4 linked regions of the Caenorhabditis elegans genome follow. The protein of the gene in region 1 interacts with the protein of each later gene in a pairwise test. Each region holds a gene or a part of one and is shown on either strand. Other genes may lie near its edges.

Evidence for each region.
Region 2: the proteins of ceh-40 (region 1) and inso-1 interact in a two-hybrid assay, tested with the Caenorhabditis elegans proteins (one large-scale study listed by BioGRID).
Region 3: the proteins of ceh-40 (region 1) and tbx-9 interact in a two-hybrid assay, tested with the Caenorhabditis elegans proteins (one large-scale study listed by BioGRID).
Region 4: the proteins of ceh-40 (region 1) and hlh-26 interact in a two-hybrid assay, tested with the Caenorhabditis elegans proteins (one large-scale study listed by BioGRID).

What each region holds. Positions count from the first base shown.
Region 1 is NC_003284.9:12,317,600-12,322,633, reverse strand, and holds ceh-40 (Homeobox protein ceh-40), read left to right. Parts: upstream 1-1,856; 5' UTR 1,857-1,933; coding exon 1,934-2,025; intron 2,026-2,694; coding exon 2,695-2,974; intron 2,975-3,017; coding exon 3,018-3,092; intron 3,093-3,137; coding exon 3,138-3,389; intron 3,390-3,867; coding exon 3,868-4,110; intron 4,111-4,346; coding exon 4,347-4,394; 3' UTR 4,395-4,508; downstream 4,509-5,034. Other genes in the region: F17A2.13 (uncharacterized protein), read right to left, coding at 1-112, 257-968; xtr-2 (MX region of TRA-2 Related), read right to left, coding at 4,961-5,034. UniProt on the Caenorhabditis elegans protein: Plays a role in regulating gene expression in dopaminergic neurons, acting redundantly with homeobox protein ceh-20 in head neurons.
Region 2 is NC_003284.9:1,298,631-1,303,200, forward strand, and holds the start of inso-1 (BTB domain-containing protein), read left to right. Parts: upstream 1-1,518; 5' UTR 1,519-1,645; intron 1,646-4,570. Other genes in the region: dop-4 (Dopamine receptor 4), read left to right, coding at 1-28.
Region 3 is NC_003281.10:10,339,457-10,343,611, reverse strand, and holds tbx-9 (T-box transcription factor tbx-9), read left to right. Parts: upstream 1-1,753; 5' UTR 1,754-1,760; coding exon 1,761-2,053; intron 2,054-2,478; coding exon 2,479-2,554; intron 2,555-2,611; coding exon 2,612-2,764; intron 2,765-3,190; coding exon 3,191-3,547; 3' UTR 3,548-3,606; downstream 3,607-4,155. UniProt on the Caenorhabditis elegans protein: Transcription factor. Involved in the control of early morphogenesis of the intestine, hypodermis and body-wall muscle. Involved in regulating expression of vab-7. Appears to have partially redundant function to tbx-8.
Region 4 is NC_003280.10:5,532,329-5,535,741, forward strand, and holds hlh-26 (Helix-loop-helix protein 26), read right to left. Parts: upstream 1,415-3,413; 5' UTR 1,395-1,414; coding exon 1,246-1,394; intron 1,185-1,245; coding exon 978-1,184; intron 928-977; coding exon 651-927; 3' UTR 511-650; downstream 1-510. Other genes in the region: hlh-25 (Helix-loop-helix protein 25), read left to right, coding at 2,912-3,069, 3,126-3,356, 3,404-3,413. UniProt on the Caenorhabditis elegans protein: As a homodimer binds DNA via the E-box sequence 5'-CACGTG-3'. Represses lag-2 transcription during embryogenesis via Notch signaling, in an unc-37-dependent manner. Also represses tbx-37 independent of Notch signaling.

The sequences.
Region 1 (5,034 bases):
CAATTTTCATAGATTGTCTTGAGAACATTTACGCGTTCATCGTGTGGTGCAATGATCGAATTCAATGTGTCCAAGCGCATCTGTGAAACCGATGCCGCAATTGATCGGAGTGCTGAAAATTAAACAATATTAGTGATAATTAGACACTGCTCTAAACGAAATATAAATTTTGCTTGCATGTTGATAAACAGTTCCGCTTGCCATTAAACATCAGTTTCTCTAATAAAATTTATGTTCAAAATTTAGAAATGCTTACTCTCTGATTTCCACTTGAAGTATGCTTCAAACTTGTGGTGAACTTGAGATCTCGCCAATTTGCAGTAGTACAGTTCGTTTACGAAGTTGCTATTCTCAGGTTCTGGTTTTTCCGTCTTACTGAGAGACGATGAAGCGGAGCAATGAGAGCTCTCCGATGAGCATGACGACACTGACGATTCTTGTTTTCTTCTTGACATGATTCTCGTCTCACGACGAGCTGGAGATCTACTCTCCACATCGAGATTGTCTTTTTTGATGTGAGACTTGATAATCGTTAGGCCAGAAAATTGGCGGGACAAAGATCGGAGAATGGGGGTCTCGACTAGTTCCTTTGCTTCGTTCTCGTTTTCATAGAACACCTCGTCGTTTTCATTTTTAGCATTCTCCTGCTCGTCAAAATTTTCTTGAACATCTGCCTTTTCTTCTTCTTCTTCATTTTGGCTCTGTTTCAGAAAAGACTCCTTCCTGAACACAGGACCATCGCACACATCTTCTCCTTGCTCTTCTTTTTCGGTCTCATCAACAGTCTCATCGTCAGTTCCGCCACTTTCAAACTTCTGCACCAATCTGCTCACTTTTCGGAGGCTATTTAAAGTTTCATCATGAAAGGCTGACTTCTTTTTATCTTTGTTCGGGGTAAACATGATATCCTCCATCGCTTGCCTATAGATTCCAGCGTTGGAGTAGGAGAAGTCATTGCAACACGACATTGTTGTACTGAAATTTAAAAAAAATTATAGGTATTGTATAACCAGTTGAAAAATTGAGAACGTTAAAAAAATGTGGAACAAAAGAGTAAGATTGAAAAAAAAAAGTCCAAACAGTTGTTTTCGAGACGGAGAATAATTGAGAGTGTAAACAGAAGACCATTCGTTCAAATACAAAATGAAGAAAACGAGGAATTAGATATTTTTACACTTATTTATATCGATCGATATTGCTAACGCGACATTAGACTCTCATCCCACTCCTTTCCCGACTCTTCAACCCATAAATCGTCAGAGGAAAACAACATGTAGCAATGGGAACATTGACACCCTTCCAAGTTTGGCAGATAATCTTTGTTGACTGCAAAACTAATAACTAAAAACTGCAGCTTAACAGTGAAATCAGAAAAAATTGCACCATTTAATTTTGTTCTGTTGTTTCTACAGGCTTCTTCAAAAAAGTGACTGTCCACTATCTTCAGATTTAATTGAAAAAAAGCATAATTCAAATTTGGTTACTATATAACGCAACTTTGCTTCTGAGAAAAAAACAATAAAAAATGCATTAACTTGTAAGATTGAGAACACAAAAAAAAACGATTAGGCAACATTAAGAGCAAGAAAGAGGAGAACAATGGGCGAATAATCCAATATGTGGGAAACGGCATCTGTTGCAACTCATATCGTGACTGAATATCGGCTGACCTTCCCATCTCACCGCACAGTTGCGCTCATTACGCAACGAACGCTTGCACACAAAAAAGTATTCGATTGACTCGCCCAAACTGCGCACATCATTTACAACCACTTGCGTTGCGTGCACCGATACTGTCTGTCAACCACAATTTGTCTTTATTCTTGACAACGTTACGTTTTTACCCCACCTCTCGCTAATGTGTCCGTCTCATCAACATTTTATCTCCAATACGTTTCCTGTCATTTATCATTAATTCTGGTTTATTGTAGACATGAGTGAGGCGTCAAAATCGATTATGGATCTGCTGTCAGAAGTTGTCAAAATTACCGACATGACTATGGATAATGAAGCTGTCAATAAATTGTGAGTTAGATTTTTGCTTATGTGCTGCCATAAATCGAAGTTTTCAAAAAAAAAAATCAACAATCGTTATGTGATGGTTTGCGCTTGTTTTTTCTGATATTCCTATAATAAAAATTCTCAATATTGTTTCATGGGCGTGTTGATGATATAAGTATTCAAATCAAAATTATTAATAAGTTTCAAAATTTTGGTCAATGTTTATAGATGTTGATAACAAATGTTCATTCATACTTAAAATACTTTGATTAGTTTACGACTCAAGAAAAAATAATGACAAGATATGCTTTTAAGCAAAGTTTCGTAAAACATCAAATGTTTAATTTTTTTGATCAGCTTTTGTAGGCAATAGCCTGTCTCTAATTTCTTTATTTGAACAGTACCGCTCCTTAAAACATTGCTCTAGTTCAACTATCATCACAAACTTCTTGAAAACTATTTTTTGGAAAAACTTTCTTAAGCAAACTCTCCGCTGGAGTGCTTATGTTTTTCTTTCAACTTCAGTATTTATCATAATATTGTTTTGGTAACTATACATTTATGGAGAAGTTGCGATAAGATGAAAACCAACACTAGAGATTACTATCAAGATACAAAAAAGAAAAGAGGATATTCACTTCCTCCTGAAAATAAAAAATAAAAAATTGTCAAAAGTATTTATGAATTTTTCAGAAAACCACAAATCAAGATCAATCCATTCTACCGAGCCGTACAAGATGTTCTAGTTGAGCAGAAGTCCAAAATCGACCTATCGACAAAGATGATGAAGGATCTTGAAGCACAAGAGAATGATGAACGGCTGGATACCATGCTCAAAGCAGAAGGAGTTGCTGGACCCGATGATAGTTTGTTGCGTATTCAGGAAGCTGCTGGAACTGACCAATACGAGTATCGTCAACAACTTTTGAAAGTGAGACGAGAGCTTGAAAATGAGACAAAAGCGTTTGACAAGGTAAGATCGTCTCATATATCACCAACCAATATACAAATTTCAGCACTGCAAAAAGTGGTGTGAGTACGTTGAAGATGTTCTCCAGCAACAAGGAGAATTCCGTCCAATCACCCAACAGGTAAGCCATAAATCTACCGGTGAAAAGATTAAACCAATTTTTCAGTCAACCGAAAAGTTTATGAACAAGATGTCCGGTAAATTTAACAAGGTCTGTTTTGTACTAAAACAGACTGCCTGCGAAGAAGTTATCCAACTGAAAAAGCGTTATCTGGATGCTCGTCGAAAGAGAAGAAATTTCTCGAAAACTTCCACCGAGATTCTCAACGAGTACTTCCTAGCAAACATCAATCATCCATACCCGTCGGAAGAGGTCAAACAGGCCTTAGCTATGCAATGTAACATTAGTGTTGCTCAGGTAAAATTGAAAATACAAAATTACATACTAAAAAATATGCATAAAAAACTTTTGAAGAATATTACGATTTGCATGAAGATAATATTGATAAGGCCTAAATTAAAAGCTCGCTAAAATGCGCCATCATCACCATTTGCGTCAGCTGTCTCCTATTAATATTTGCGCGGGAGTTTTGAATAGGAAATGTTGAAACGGTGTTCAGAATTAACGAATGCTTTAGTAGTTTCTAGAAAATGGGAAGTAAGGTTTTCTAAAAGAAACGCAAAACTAGTTCATTATTCTTTGGAATATAATTGTGGTTACATAAAATAATCGCTGTTCTATAGACACGAACCTAAAAATTATGCAACTTTTTTAAAAACTATTTTTGTCACTGTCAATATTGTCAGTGTTTCTTAACACTCTATCACTCTATTTGAAAAAATTTAGTCCCAGATATCTGCATACAATCTTACAGTAGTTTACAGTTTATTTTCAGGTATCAAACTGGTTTGGAAATAAGCGAATTCGCTACAAGAAAACAATGGCTAAGAATGAGGATGAAAGAAGAGAAAACAGAAAACCAGAAGATCGCCCTCCGCCTGGAGCTCCTGGAGCTCCGTATAGTCTGGTACCCAACGCGTTTGCAGGAATGATGAACCCATATCAGATGATGTTACCTGGTCATCAATTTCCCATCGGTGTTGCCCCTTTCAATTTTTCCATGTACAATCCTGAGATGGTAAGTTTTCATTTCAAATACTGTGAACTTGCAAAAATAGAGCAATATATGTAGTTTGTTTCAAAACCCGGATTTTTGTTAAACTTGAAAAAAAACTCGTTCTTGGATACATCAAATTCTGGAAACGATGTACTCCAAGTTGCGAGCAGCTGGAAAAGTTGAGAAACTAGGTTTTTTCTTACTGCCAGATTTTGAAATCATGCATATTCCGAAAAAAACAGTTTTCTCATTTTCAGATGGCCCAATATCAACAGTCTCTACAAAACCCAAATCAAACTCGATGACAAACTTTAATAATGCTGGTACTGAGTACTCATTCATACATTTGCCATGATGTTATAAAGTAATAAATTCATTGAAATACATCCTGTGTTCCATAAGATGTATTACTTTTTTAAGAAATTTATTTGATACTGACCAATGTTTTTGGCTGCAAAATGCAACATCACAATTTTTAGACAAGGGCTTACAATATAAATGAGGTAACAAGAACAACATAACTATTCACAGAACAGGAGATTTTCCTGAAGCGTTTTTAAAAATGTTGAGAAAGTGGTGATATTGAAAAAAAAGTTGAAATTAATTAAGTTTTTAAGAACTCAGGCCAGTTATATCCATAACAAGTAGTAGTATGAAATTTTGGTGGAACTGCGAAAATAACATGCTGAAATTGGAAACTAATGTAAAATTATATTATCTAGCGGTTAGAAACAAAATGGTGAAATGAAAATCTATGACAACCATGAAGTGGAGAGGTATTGAAAATGATCCGAAGTATAGGGAATTGATTTGGTCTGATATGATCCTATTTAAACATTTCCACATTTTGCTGAATACTTTGATATTTTGATTACTGCCTACGTGGTCCATTGGGCACAAGAACTCCGGGAGGAACATCAACTGTTCGCTCGGTCCAAAAACGAT
Region 2 (4,570 bases), about 11 Mb from region 1:
GCAACCGCCGAATACTTCAATTGAATAGTTTTTATTTTGTATTTTTTATTTTTGATTTTTTTTCAATTTGTAATATGAACAGTTTTTTGGAGTACAGCAGAAGCTCGCTCTGAAAAAAAATTTAAAAATTAGAAATTGGTATTTTGAATTCAGCGTGCCAAGATTATTTAAATTCGAGTTGCTTATAAACTTTATATTTTTTTGAAGTTTCTGAAATACAGTGCAGAAGGCTTATTTGTAGGTACAGAAGTGCCTGCCTGCCTTTTTCAGTAATTTTTATTTTGGAAAATCTTTTAAAATCTTCAAAATCTTCCAGAATGTTTACCTTGTTTCAAAGATCCTGAAAAACATTAAATATGTGCAAAAAAACCACTTGTTCCAAAAGTTTTTCATGAATTTATTTAAAGGTGCCTAAGAATTATCATCGAAAAAAATACGCTCGCAAATTTTTCTCATAATTAACATTTGATCTACCTTTGGAACTTGACTCCGCCGCTAAATTTGTTGCCGTTGTTATTTCGTTGTGGCTGTCTTAACGAAGAGAAAGGAAGAGCCTAGTGAACAAGGTAGATCAAAAATAAATTATGAGAAAAATTTGAACTTTTTGAAAAAAGAAAAAAGCAAAATTTTATCGTATTTTTTCGATAATAGTTAACATTCTGAAAGCCTTTGAAAATTAAAAAAAAGTTTTCACAATCTTCAGCCGCTTTCATCTTCTGAACATAAAAAAAAAACCATAAAAAATCTGCAAAAAGTCATTCTTGGAGCAATGTTACAGACTTTGAAAATGGTGAAAAACTGAGGAATTAGGTAAACGTTTAGGGTCGAACTTCTCATAGTTCAAAGACTTCGTGTACAGTTAATTTTTTTTCTTAACGTGCCGGATAGTTCTCACGGTAGCACAGAAACTAGATGGATTGGTTCATGATACTCAGTCTGGAAACCTATATTGGCTACTATCTCGAAAACCATCACAAAATCGATTTTGCGATGCATATAAGAAATGACCGCAATGAAATTATCTATCTTTATTTGTGATGAATTTTCGATTTTGTACTTCCTGGCCAAGTTATGCACGTTTGTTCGGTGGAGCGCGTTTGCACCCATTTAGCAACTGAACCACCGTGTTCTATTAGGCAGGTGAGCCCGGAATACATACAGAGTTCTGAAGTCAGACCGCTAATTATAATTAACAAGAACAGGTGAAAATGCAAGTACATCCTATAAAGCATGAAAACTATAACAAAAGCTGAGAATTACTTCCTTAGTTTTTGACGATTTTTAGCGAATCTGACAAAATAATATTACAAAAAGGGCCCCCTTCCGATCCAGTGGTTCCAAGTGCCCCCCCCCCCTCCTCCCCAAAAAGGCCATGACGTGACATCTCTAAAAGTGCATATCTTGCGGTTGACTAAACAAAACCCAAGATAAGAAAATTAATTACGCTCTCATTCACAGAGACGTCCATTTAACTGCCTATGAATCATCTTTTCCAGGGCACCGAGATTTTCTTCATTAGCTGAGATTTCCTTTCGGTTCATTATATTGAATTTATTCATCTGATTTGAATTTTCAGTCGGCGTCGTTTCGCCAAAAAATTAGCTAACGAGGTAAAGCAGCTGCTCTGGCCGCGTGCGATTTTCAGGTAAGTTCTTTCAAATTTCAGAAATTTTATCGGATTTTGTTCGCACAACTGGTTTTTGTAAAAAAGTTTTACATATCGATTTTCTTTGGTATCCTTTTGTTGTACATTGTCTACCAATCTGATAGTGAGTAGGTTGAATAAATTTAAAAATAAATTTTAAAGTAATACCTTCAAAAAATTCTTCAAAAAGTTTTATTTATAACTTTGCATATTATGTATGATTTAAATGAATTTTTTCCAATTAAAAAAGTTATATAATCTTAAACTTAGGCTTAGGCTTAGGCTAAGGCTCAGTCTAAAGCTCAGGCTTGGGCTTAAGCGTAGGTTTAGGCTTAGGCTAAAGCCTAGGTCTTGACTTAGGCTTATGCTTTGGCTAAGGCTTTGGCTTAGGCTTAGGCTTAAGCTTGGGCTTAGGCTCAGGCTTAGGCTAGGTTCCCTCCGTTTGTTCTCTGACTAAATTTTTTCCAAAATATTCCAAGTAAACCGGCAATTGTGAGCCAATGAAATTTATTAAAATTGAAGGCACATTTCAATTGTTGTCTCTAAAAAATGAGACTGTAAGGATAGCGTATGGTATATATATCTCACCCACATGGTGTTCTAAGGGCCTTTCGTTTTTATTAGATAATATAATTTTATAAATTGAACATTTTGAGCTTACACGTAAACAACATGAATATTATTAAAAATCTGCAAACATTAGTTTTTGGAGAACTTTTACTTGCCTCAAAAATAGTTGTTAGAAAACCTAAAGTTTCATATTTAATTATTGCCAATCAACAGTGTCAGTATGCAGTTAGAATTAATTTCAAGTCGAATATTTTTTTTGATTTGTCATGTTTTGTCATGTTTCCCTCCAAATGTTGCTCTTTTTCGAAATGTCAATTTCTATCCCCTTCTGCATCTTGCTTTTTTCAATAAATTTCCTTTTTTTCTAGTTCATGATTTGTATGTAAGTTTTTATAGTTTGTTTTTCACTTTGTTTCTGATATATGTAAAGCATGACTATTTGTTACCGGTTTAGATTTATGGAATTTAATTGAACAAATAATAAAAAATTAGGTGAAAAAAGAAAGAAGTATTTTTAGTTGGAATATATTACACTTTGAAAAAATCTAAAAGTTATAAATAGTTGCGGGCTCGAAAAAAAAATTAAGTAATTGAAATTAGGTTCGAAACTAAGGTTACGCATAAAAAACTATAAATTTCACATCTAAAAGGTTTGAAAAATTTACTTCGAAAAAATGTGGAACCTTTTTTTTCCAAATAAATATTCTACTTTTGTCTGAAAACTAAAACTTCAACTTTCTACAAAATTATAATTTGGCTTCTGAAAAAAACTAAACTTTACAGCCTGAAAACTCAAAAGAAACTGCTTTTTTTTTAAATTTAAAAAAAAAAAAGCTTTTCGCCGAATAAAAACTTAAATTTTCTAAAACTTTTCATCACATTTCTGATTTGAAATTATTTTTTCCAAAAAACATGGCAGTTATCTGGTAATTTACGTTTGAAAAGTCTGAAAATGTTTTAACTGAAAAAATTATAGTTTTATATTTTCACTTTAATAAATTTCTAAATAACCGAAAAACTAAAATTCGTAGGTTGGCAAATCCGCGAAAAATTAAAAAGGCACTATATTTCGAATTTTCACGTTTATCACAGAAAAAAAATGTGCAAAGTGTATCAATATTTAAGCAATTCAAATGTTCCGAAAATTTTCATCACTTTTCTGGTTCCGACCTGGTACTGACCGGATATGAAGTATTTTTGGAAATTTTTTCGTTTTTGTCATTTGGAAGTGATCCGCAAAATGATTTAATTCAAACGATGTATCCCGGCAGCAACAGCTCAAAACCTTAGAAATTTCAGATTTTTAAATATGTAGATTTCTTAAAGAGCTAAAATAGTAATCTTCAGTACTAGAGAATTCCTCGAACAAATCCCAAAAAAAATTTAATGAAAAAATGTCAATTGCAATGTAGAACCTCCTAAAGCTATTCCATTATTTTTTTGGAAACATGGGGGGAGAGAGCAAGTGAGAGAAGACGGGGGGAGCACATTCATGCACAAACACACACTCGCACTTGGTTGTTCCTTACCCCCTCACTGTTTCATTTTCTTAAGCCTACATATATACTCTGCGTCTCCCAGCTCTCCCCCAACCGAAGCAGCAGCAGCATCGCCGGGCACCCTATGGCCGTGGACTAGTTCCCCCCATTTCCCGCTTCATATCTCTGCTCGCCCTCTTCCTTCTGTGTGCTCTCTCGGATCCTTACGCAGTAACTGACCATATGGTCAAGTGGTTGGCGGGTGTGCAGTGCTAGTACGATTGTCTTGTCTATTGATTCTTTTTTTTGTCATTCGGAGCTTGGCTGGAATTTTCTGGTTTTTAGGTTTTCAATAACAGCGTTTTATTCTTATGAATTTAAAATTTGCAGTTTTTTCTTTGAATACAACTTTGAAGTTTTCAATTTCACATATATATATATACAATAACTAAAATTATATTTAATTGAGAAAAAATTAAATTTGCTTATTTTTTAATTTACAATATTTCCTGAAAATTGAACTATATACCTATTCCAGTTGAAAAAAAAGCGTAAAATAATATTTTCTTTTTAAAAAAATTCAAACTTTGAAAAATTTATTATAGAGCATTATATTTTGAGTAACAGTATGTAATAATTATTTATAATTTGGTAGCCTGTTAAAACTGATAAAATAAAATAACTTTTAAAAAACCTACTCGAAAAAACATGAAATAATTTTTCCCATTTTTTTTCTACCATTTTGTGGTATTTTTTTCTCGAATTCAATATTGCTGCATCCGTTCCTGTTCAGTTTTTGTTCAATTAATCACACCAAAGCCAATAAATGGGCGGAGTCTAATGAGATAATTTTGTTGAATTTTATTTTAAAATAATA
Region 3 (4,155 bases), on another chromosome or scaffold:
TGTTCCTGGGAAAAAAAAATTCAGAACAACTAATCAGTGATTGTAAACCTTATCACCTGTATATCCATTGACGCCAACTAACAATTGTGGAGGTTATAAATCCGCCACGATGTTTATCGACCACCTGATTTAGAGGTACCCCCCGTAAAAACACCGACTCGGAGAGTTTTGGGAAGAGTAAAGTTTTACAGCTTTTTTTTTGGTGTTTTGGAGATCAGTCTTATTTTCTAGGAAAATGGGGCTAATGGGGTCGGAGAAATTTGGGTTCAGATAACAATTTGGGAAACGATTATCTCGAAAAGCTTCGAGTTTACCGAATAGTTGCCAACTGACAAAATATAGCTCTGGAAATTATGAACAATCAGTTAGTTGACAAATTTTTGATAGCTGCATCCACAAAAAAGTTAGACCCCGGAAAAAAATTGAGTTTTTTTTTGAAAGTTGACATCTTTTTGATAGCTTTTGGGAAGACGAATATATCAAAATTATCCTGACTTATAGACTTAAAAGGTTTGCTCAAAAATTGCTCAGAAATTTTAATGGATCTGCAAAATTTGGAGAGTTTTTCCTAATATTTTTGAGCAATGTTTTAGAACATTCGTTATGAAATTCGAATTTTTAATATCACTTTATGTCTAAAAATGCAAAATAATTTTGATCCGTTAACCAATGTTTTCTTTTATCCATTTTCCTTCAGCTACCAATTTTTACACCTCCAGTCAATACTGTCGGTGTTCTATCAAAAGAGCCCACTACAACTAACCGGCTCAAAAATTTTACAACGTATGCTCTTTTGGAGGTAACCGACAAAAAAGGGGTATACTTGGAAATGGTATATTATCTGGAAATAGAAGGAGGGTTTGAAGATGGAATAATGGGTAATTGTGGAAGGTATGAAAATGTAAAATGGTAAAATCTTTATTTTGAAACATTAAATAAAGTTATTTTTTTCAAATTTCGGTTTTTATATGGTACAAAAAAATTCAGTTTACATTAATTTTTACTGTCATTCTTTCTTGAGAAAAGTGATCTCAAAGTAAAAATATACAAAATCCATACTGTCGATAAGCATGGTATACATAGCATAATTCTTTAATTAATAAGGAAGTTGTATCATCTTTAAATTTTGAACATTTTTTGAAGTTTACATAAAACCAACATTTTCGGACCGTCTTCTCTATTTCTATGCCACATCAGAATTTGATCTCCCAATTTTGTTTTGAAAGTATACCCAACTCTTTTGATCTACCAGTCAGCCGCCAAGTCTTCCCAGAATCGATAGCCGAGAGGGCCACGCGCACAACCTGCCCGCCCTTGCAGAGGGGTGTGGTTTGGCAATGAGGTGAGATGGGGTGAAGATGTGCACAATTTCTCACTTCTTTGTCTTAAATCACCATTTTTTTGTGATGACATCTCTATCTTATCGTGTTTCTTATTTTTCTATTTTTTTGTTTTCTTATTTTTGAACGGCGGGGATATCTCAGACGTTATCTCAAAACTGGCAAGAGATACCAAATAGTTGTCAACTAACAAAATATTGCAAATTTTATCATTGTTGCTTTGTTAGTTAACAACTTTTTGCTAGATACCACCGTTTTTAAGTTAGAATAGTTTTCCCGCTCCTCCTTCTCACTGGTACCACACTCTAAGCAAGTGTAGCTGCCAAACCGGTGAGAATATAACATTATATCTTATACCATTTTCCAACTTTTTTTTTGCTGTTCGTTTTCATAATATATTTTAACGTTTTCAGACAAAAAATGTCCAAAGTCAAAGTATCAATCGAAGGATCCCAAGAAACTCTCTGGAAGATATTCCACGCAGAAGTCAACGAGATGATTGTCACGAAGAACGGCCGAAAGTTGTTCCCAAAGTTGGAATATATAGTCGAAGGGCTTGATGAAAACAAGCTGTATGCAATAATGCTCCAATTACAACCAGTTGGAGAAAGTCGATTCAAGTTCAGCGGTGGAAAGTGGCAGGAAACGGGCAAAGCTGAGAAGCAGGTCGACGCGAAGAAGATGTGGCATGCTGATGGAGTTCGGAAGGGAAGGTGAGTGTGACATAGGAATTGGAAGATTAGAAGCTATGAAGATTTGTAAACTGACATGATTATCAAAATAGTGAGAACCATTTTGTCAATTGGCAACTTTTTTTAGCTCCGCCCTGGTATTACAACTTCAAAGCGCCATATCTCAGCGGGCTTGGAAGTTTTAAAAAAGATGTTAACTGGAAAATTGTTAACTGATTTATCATCTACAATTTGCCAGTTGACAACTTTTTTCTAGCTTGAGCCATTGAAGAGTTAGAGCTGCCGACACTGGCATTCAAATGCCTTTGGAATATTTTGAGGGTTACATCTCATCTAACATTAAAGTTTTCAAAGTTTGTCGTTTGTCAACTGACAACATAATTCAGATGAAAATAATTCTAAATTTGCTAAATTTATATCTTCAAAGTAACCCCAATTAATTTCAGTGACTGGATGTGGAGTTCGATTTGCTTTGATCGTGTGAAAATCTCCAACTATTCAGAGTCCAACAACGCTTCAATGGTAGGATTTCAACTTTAAAATTACTTGGCAATTTCCAATTTAAAATTGAAATTTCAGATTTACCTCAACAGCATGCACAAGTACATTCCAGTGCTGACAATCTACGAGTCTCCATCGGAGAGCCCTTTCTGCGTCCCACAATCCTCAAACCAAATCGTCGCCACCGCCAAATTCCCTCATACCGAGTTTATTGCAGTAACGGCTTACCAGGTTAGTATTGAGAGTAAGAGTATTAGCGCATGGATCTTATCTCGGAAGAATCAATATTTTGTGAACAATGGGAAATCTGGGAAGGAAGGGGGAAGTCTTGTCAACCATCATACTTATCAAGAAGTCGTTAACTAATAATTTGTAACCCTAGTTGTAAAGATTAATTAGTTAGTTGACAAGTTTTTAATAGAGTTAAAAGAAGGAGAGTTACACTTGCTCAAAATTTGGCTCTATTTATAAATTTGAAACTGCGCTACTTTAAGCACTCCTACCTCGCCAATAAAAAGAGCTATATAAAAGTTGTCAACTACAAAAATATTGCTCGCTTTGTGATCCATAATATGGTGTTTAACAATTTCTTAATAGATTCTTTGTTTTCAAAGATAGAGAGAGTTGAATAATAAACCTAATTTTTCCTCATTTCAGAACCAAAAAATCACCGACTTGAAAATCAAGCACAACAGTTTTGCCAAAGGTTTCCGTGACGGGAACTTGAGTCGCAAGAGAAGATCACCATCATATTCCGACGGCAGCAACTCACAGTCCCCATCGCCAAAATCCAGATCACCACCGGAGGTCGCACCTCTTCAGTCGATGCCTCCAATCAACCCATTTCTTTTTTATTTTCCCCATATGTTATCTGAAAATCTTCCAGTCCAATTTCCATTCGCTTTTCCATTTCTCTCGCCTCTCCCGTCGACTCCTTCCAGCTCGAGCAGTGAGCTGAGCATTGTGAAGGAGGAGGATCAGGAGGTAGAAGAAGATATTGATATTGTTGGTTGATAATTTTTATGCAAACTGGTCGCTTTTGATATCATGTAATCAAAATTTTTAATATATAAATATATAAAGCTTTATATTTTCAAAGAAACGACTTTTTGAAGACCCGCCGATTAAATTAGAAGTTTGTCGACTGAAAAAGGCAGCCTAGACTGCTAGCCAACAATTTTTATACCTACAATACTTAAAAATGTATTGTTTAAAGGAACACGTAGTTTTCTGAGTGGGTCTTGCCACGATCACAGTCATAGTGGTCGCTGCAGAACCCACATTTTTAGATTTGCTTATTTGATGTTGAAATGGAAAATTTTCAAGACATTACGAGAACACACAATTCTGAGGATGCGTATTGCGCAACATATTTGACGCGCAAAATATCTCGTAGCGAAAACTACAGTAATTCTTTAGAAGACTACTGTAGTCAAGGGTTCGACTTTTTGAATTGATGTTCAATTGATGTTCAATATTTTCCTCCTTTTCTTCTAGTCTGATTCATTTCAAAAATCGAGCTCGTAAATCGACACAAGCGCTACAGTAGTCTTTTGAAGAATTACTGTAGTTTTCGCTACGAGATATTTTGCGGTCAAATATGTTGCGCATTCTCATTAATT
Region 4 (3,413 bases), on another chromosome or scaffold:
TGAACACGTGTTCCAAGTGTTTATTTTTAATAGTTGTGCTGACATTTTTTGAATTTTCTTTCACAGTTTCTTTATTTTTCAGGGTTCGTAAACCAAGTTGCCGGTTGCCGAACTTTTTTCGGCACTTTGGCAACTGTCCATATCAACGTCAAACATTTTGTAACTCAAAAAAAAACATGCAGAGAGCCTGAAAAAGCTAGAATTTCACTGTAAACGAAAAAAACGACCATACATTTTTCCAAAACGCTCAAAAATTTAATTTCGACAAAAAAAACTTTGAAACCTGGTTGCCGAAAAGTTTCCGAAGTTCCGGCAACCGGAAGTTGCTGGCTGCCGAAGTTTTCAGCGTTCGGCAACTTTGGCAATTGCCGGTTGCCGAAATTTCTTTAAATCTCGGTTGCCGCACAGTCCTGGTAAGAACGCAATTCAGTTCTATAATTTTTCTCCAATTGCTACGCATCTGTTCAAATTATCATGCACACTGTGCTGAAAATCTCAATATTGCTGTGTGTTAAACTTGAATTTATTATCTTGATGTTACTTTTTTAAATTTATTAATTTTCAATGAATCGGGATGCAAAAGATGTCTAAATAATGTTGAAAACTGTTGAAAAAAATTGGAGACCAATACGATTTTCAGCTGAATCTCTTCAGCCAACAATATCGATATCTTTCTCATTTTCTTCTATTTCCAGAGCGTCAATTTCGAAGCTGGAACTTGGGACAATAGGAATCTGAACTGTAGGCATGTGAGGAGGATAAAGTGAAAATTGATTGTATGAATTGAAAACTAATGGCGAATAAACTGGGAATACTGGGAGAAAAGGAAGTATTGGAAATGGTAGGCAAGGTACTGTACATGTGATCGACTTTCCACGAATCACTTCAAAGATGATTTCTAGAACCTTCAAATTCTCCATTTTGTCTCTGAAAAATACGTGTTTTTTAATTTATGGCCAATAAAATCTAAAACCTACATTTCTTCTGAGCTACTCAAATTATTCAATGCAATAAATTTTCTGAGCTCTCTGTACGCGGCAACTCTCTTATTTCGGCGAACTTGTTCCCGATCGCTTTTAATCTTTTTAATACTTCTAATTGGTCCAGGCGATGTTGAAAACGATTCGTGATGAAGTTGAATACCAGATAACAATTTCACAATACGAAATAGAACCTCTTCTTTTCTGAATAGACATTAGTTGAGAGTACGTTTTTTTTTTTTAAATAAAATAGTAGAAAACTTACGAAAGTTTTTCAGATTCCGATTTTTGAACGATTTTCTTGAATTCATTCAACAGATCATTAGTATCATCTCTTCTTTGTTTTTCTGTTTCAGATCGATGTCCATGTGAAGAAGGGGACCCAGATGATGACGAAGTTGGAGAGGAAGACATTATGAGTCAAGGATCTGAAATATAATAATAATAGTTAACAAAAGATTATTAGACAAAAACCGTAATAGGGAGACTACAAAATATGAAAGGCAGTTCAAATTAAAGACTTATGAAAACGTTGAAAAGAACCAACCTTACAGTTCAAGTATGCAAAAACATAATGACTACCTTCCATTATATGTTCGAGTTTTTTCTTCAATAGGCGGGGATTCTCATCGTTTGGAATATCATGGGAATCTGATATCCATACCTTTATTACGCGTGGTTCTCATGGTGCATCGAGTACCACATCTCCAGTTCTTGCCGTGGCAGCCTGAGAACCCAAGCAATGCGAAGGGTCACAACCTGAACGAAGTTATTGATTGGTGGGAAAAAATAATCCTGAAATGAATATTTGGTAAAATCGGAGCTCGATGGAATTTAAAAATGTAAATATATAATACAAAAGAAGAATTTAGAATATTTAAAATAAAAATGCATATTAATTAACTCAAATAATCAAATACATGAATTAGGTTATAGTATTTTTCCTTTACATGATAGTTTAAAATATTTATATCAAGCTGTTCTAGAAATGTTTTAAAAAACAATATCCAAGTTTAAAAAAATCTCAATTTATTTTTAATTTACGAGGTTTCCATCTCAGCGTGTGACACTTTTCTTATAACTTGGCACCTACATGTATCCGGTGTGAATTTTTTCTGTTGCTGTGTGAGCATTTCCAGCAAACCGGAGTTCTCAAAATCAGTAAGGTTATATGTTAAAATTAAACTGGCTTATTATTTTCAGAAAATGAAAAACTGCCATATTTGAGTGATAAACTGAATGAATCCGTAAAATTTGGTAGTTGTATGTTCTATGCATTATCATATACATCAATCTGGTAATTTTTATTAGAATCAGATCTTGAATATTGGAAACTTTGCGAATTAAAGACAAATAATGATTAGGCAAGCTGATTAAATGAGTGATAAAAATGGTTAATGTCAATTCACAGTCTCCGCCGAAATTTCCCAGGCTGTACCCAATCAATATCCAGTCGTGGCAAAACTGGAGATGTCCTGACTCGTTCTCATGAGAACCTCACTGATGAACCATGGGAACCCGTGATGGGGACTGTAAAAATAGAGATTTCAGAATAATTCCCATGGCTCCAAACGCTTGATACAAAGCTCCACCCTCTGAACAATAATGGAACTATAAAAGGTAACCATTTATTCATTGTTCATTTACTTTCTTAGTGGATCACTGGTCTGCTGGTTTAGTATACTTTTTGATAATTGTAACATCAGGAAAGTGTACTGATTTTGATCAATTACTTTTAAAGCATTCAGTGAACTGTATACTTCTAGAAAAACAGTACGAGTTATCTCACTAAACTAAATCAATTTGTGCTGCTTTCTTGGTCCCATTTATCTGTTTTGTCACAATTATTCCTTTTTAACGGCTCATCTTGAATTTTTATAAATTCTACATTTCTTATTGATTTTAAATTAATGAAAATTATTAAATTTCAGATGCCAAAAGTTATTCAGTCTTCAATGAGCGATTATCGTTCCGTCCCATACAATCAAACTCCAAAATCAGCTTCTGAACGGAAAAGAAGAAATATTACAAACGAGTTGATTAACGAATGCAAGACGATTGTTCAAAAATCAGAAGAAGAACATATATCGTAAGTTTAAATACTCTGTTAGCTTAAAATAGTTATTAAACTAATTCATTTTTTAGACAAGAAGTAGTTCTCTTCCGAATTGTGAAACTTGTGACTGGAGTTAATCTGGAATCTAATTTCTCATCGAATGACCTCTCCGAATCTACAAGACGGAAGTTTGATACTGAATCCGAAAGAAGAAAAGTGAAGACTGAACGTGAAAAGATTCGAAGAAAGAAACAAGATGACTGTTATGCTGAATTGAAATTCTTCATTTTGAACAAACAAATGGGAAGTTACGAGCAACGGTAAGAGTTTCATTATGGCTAATAAAAATTCAAAAAATTATTTTCAGATTAAAACTT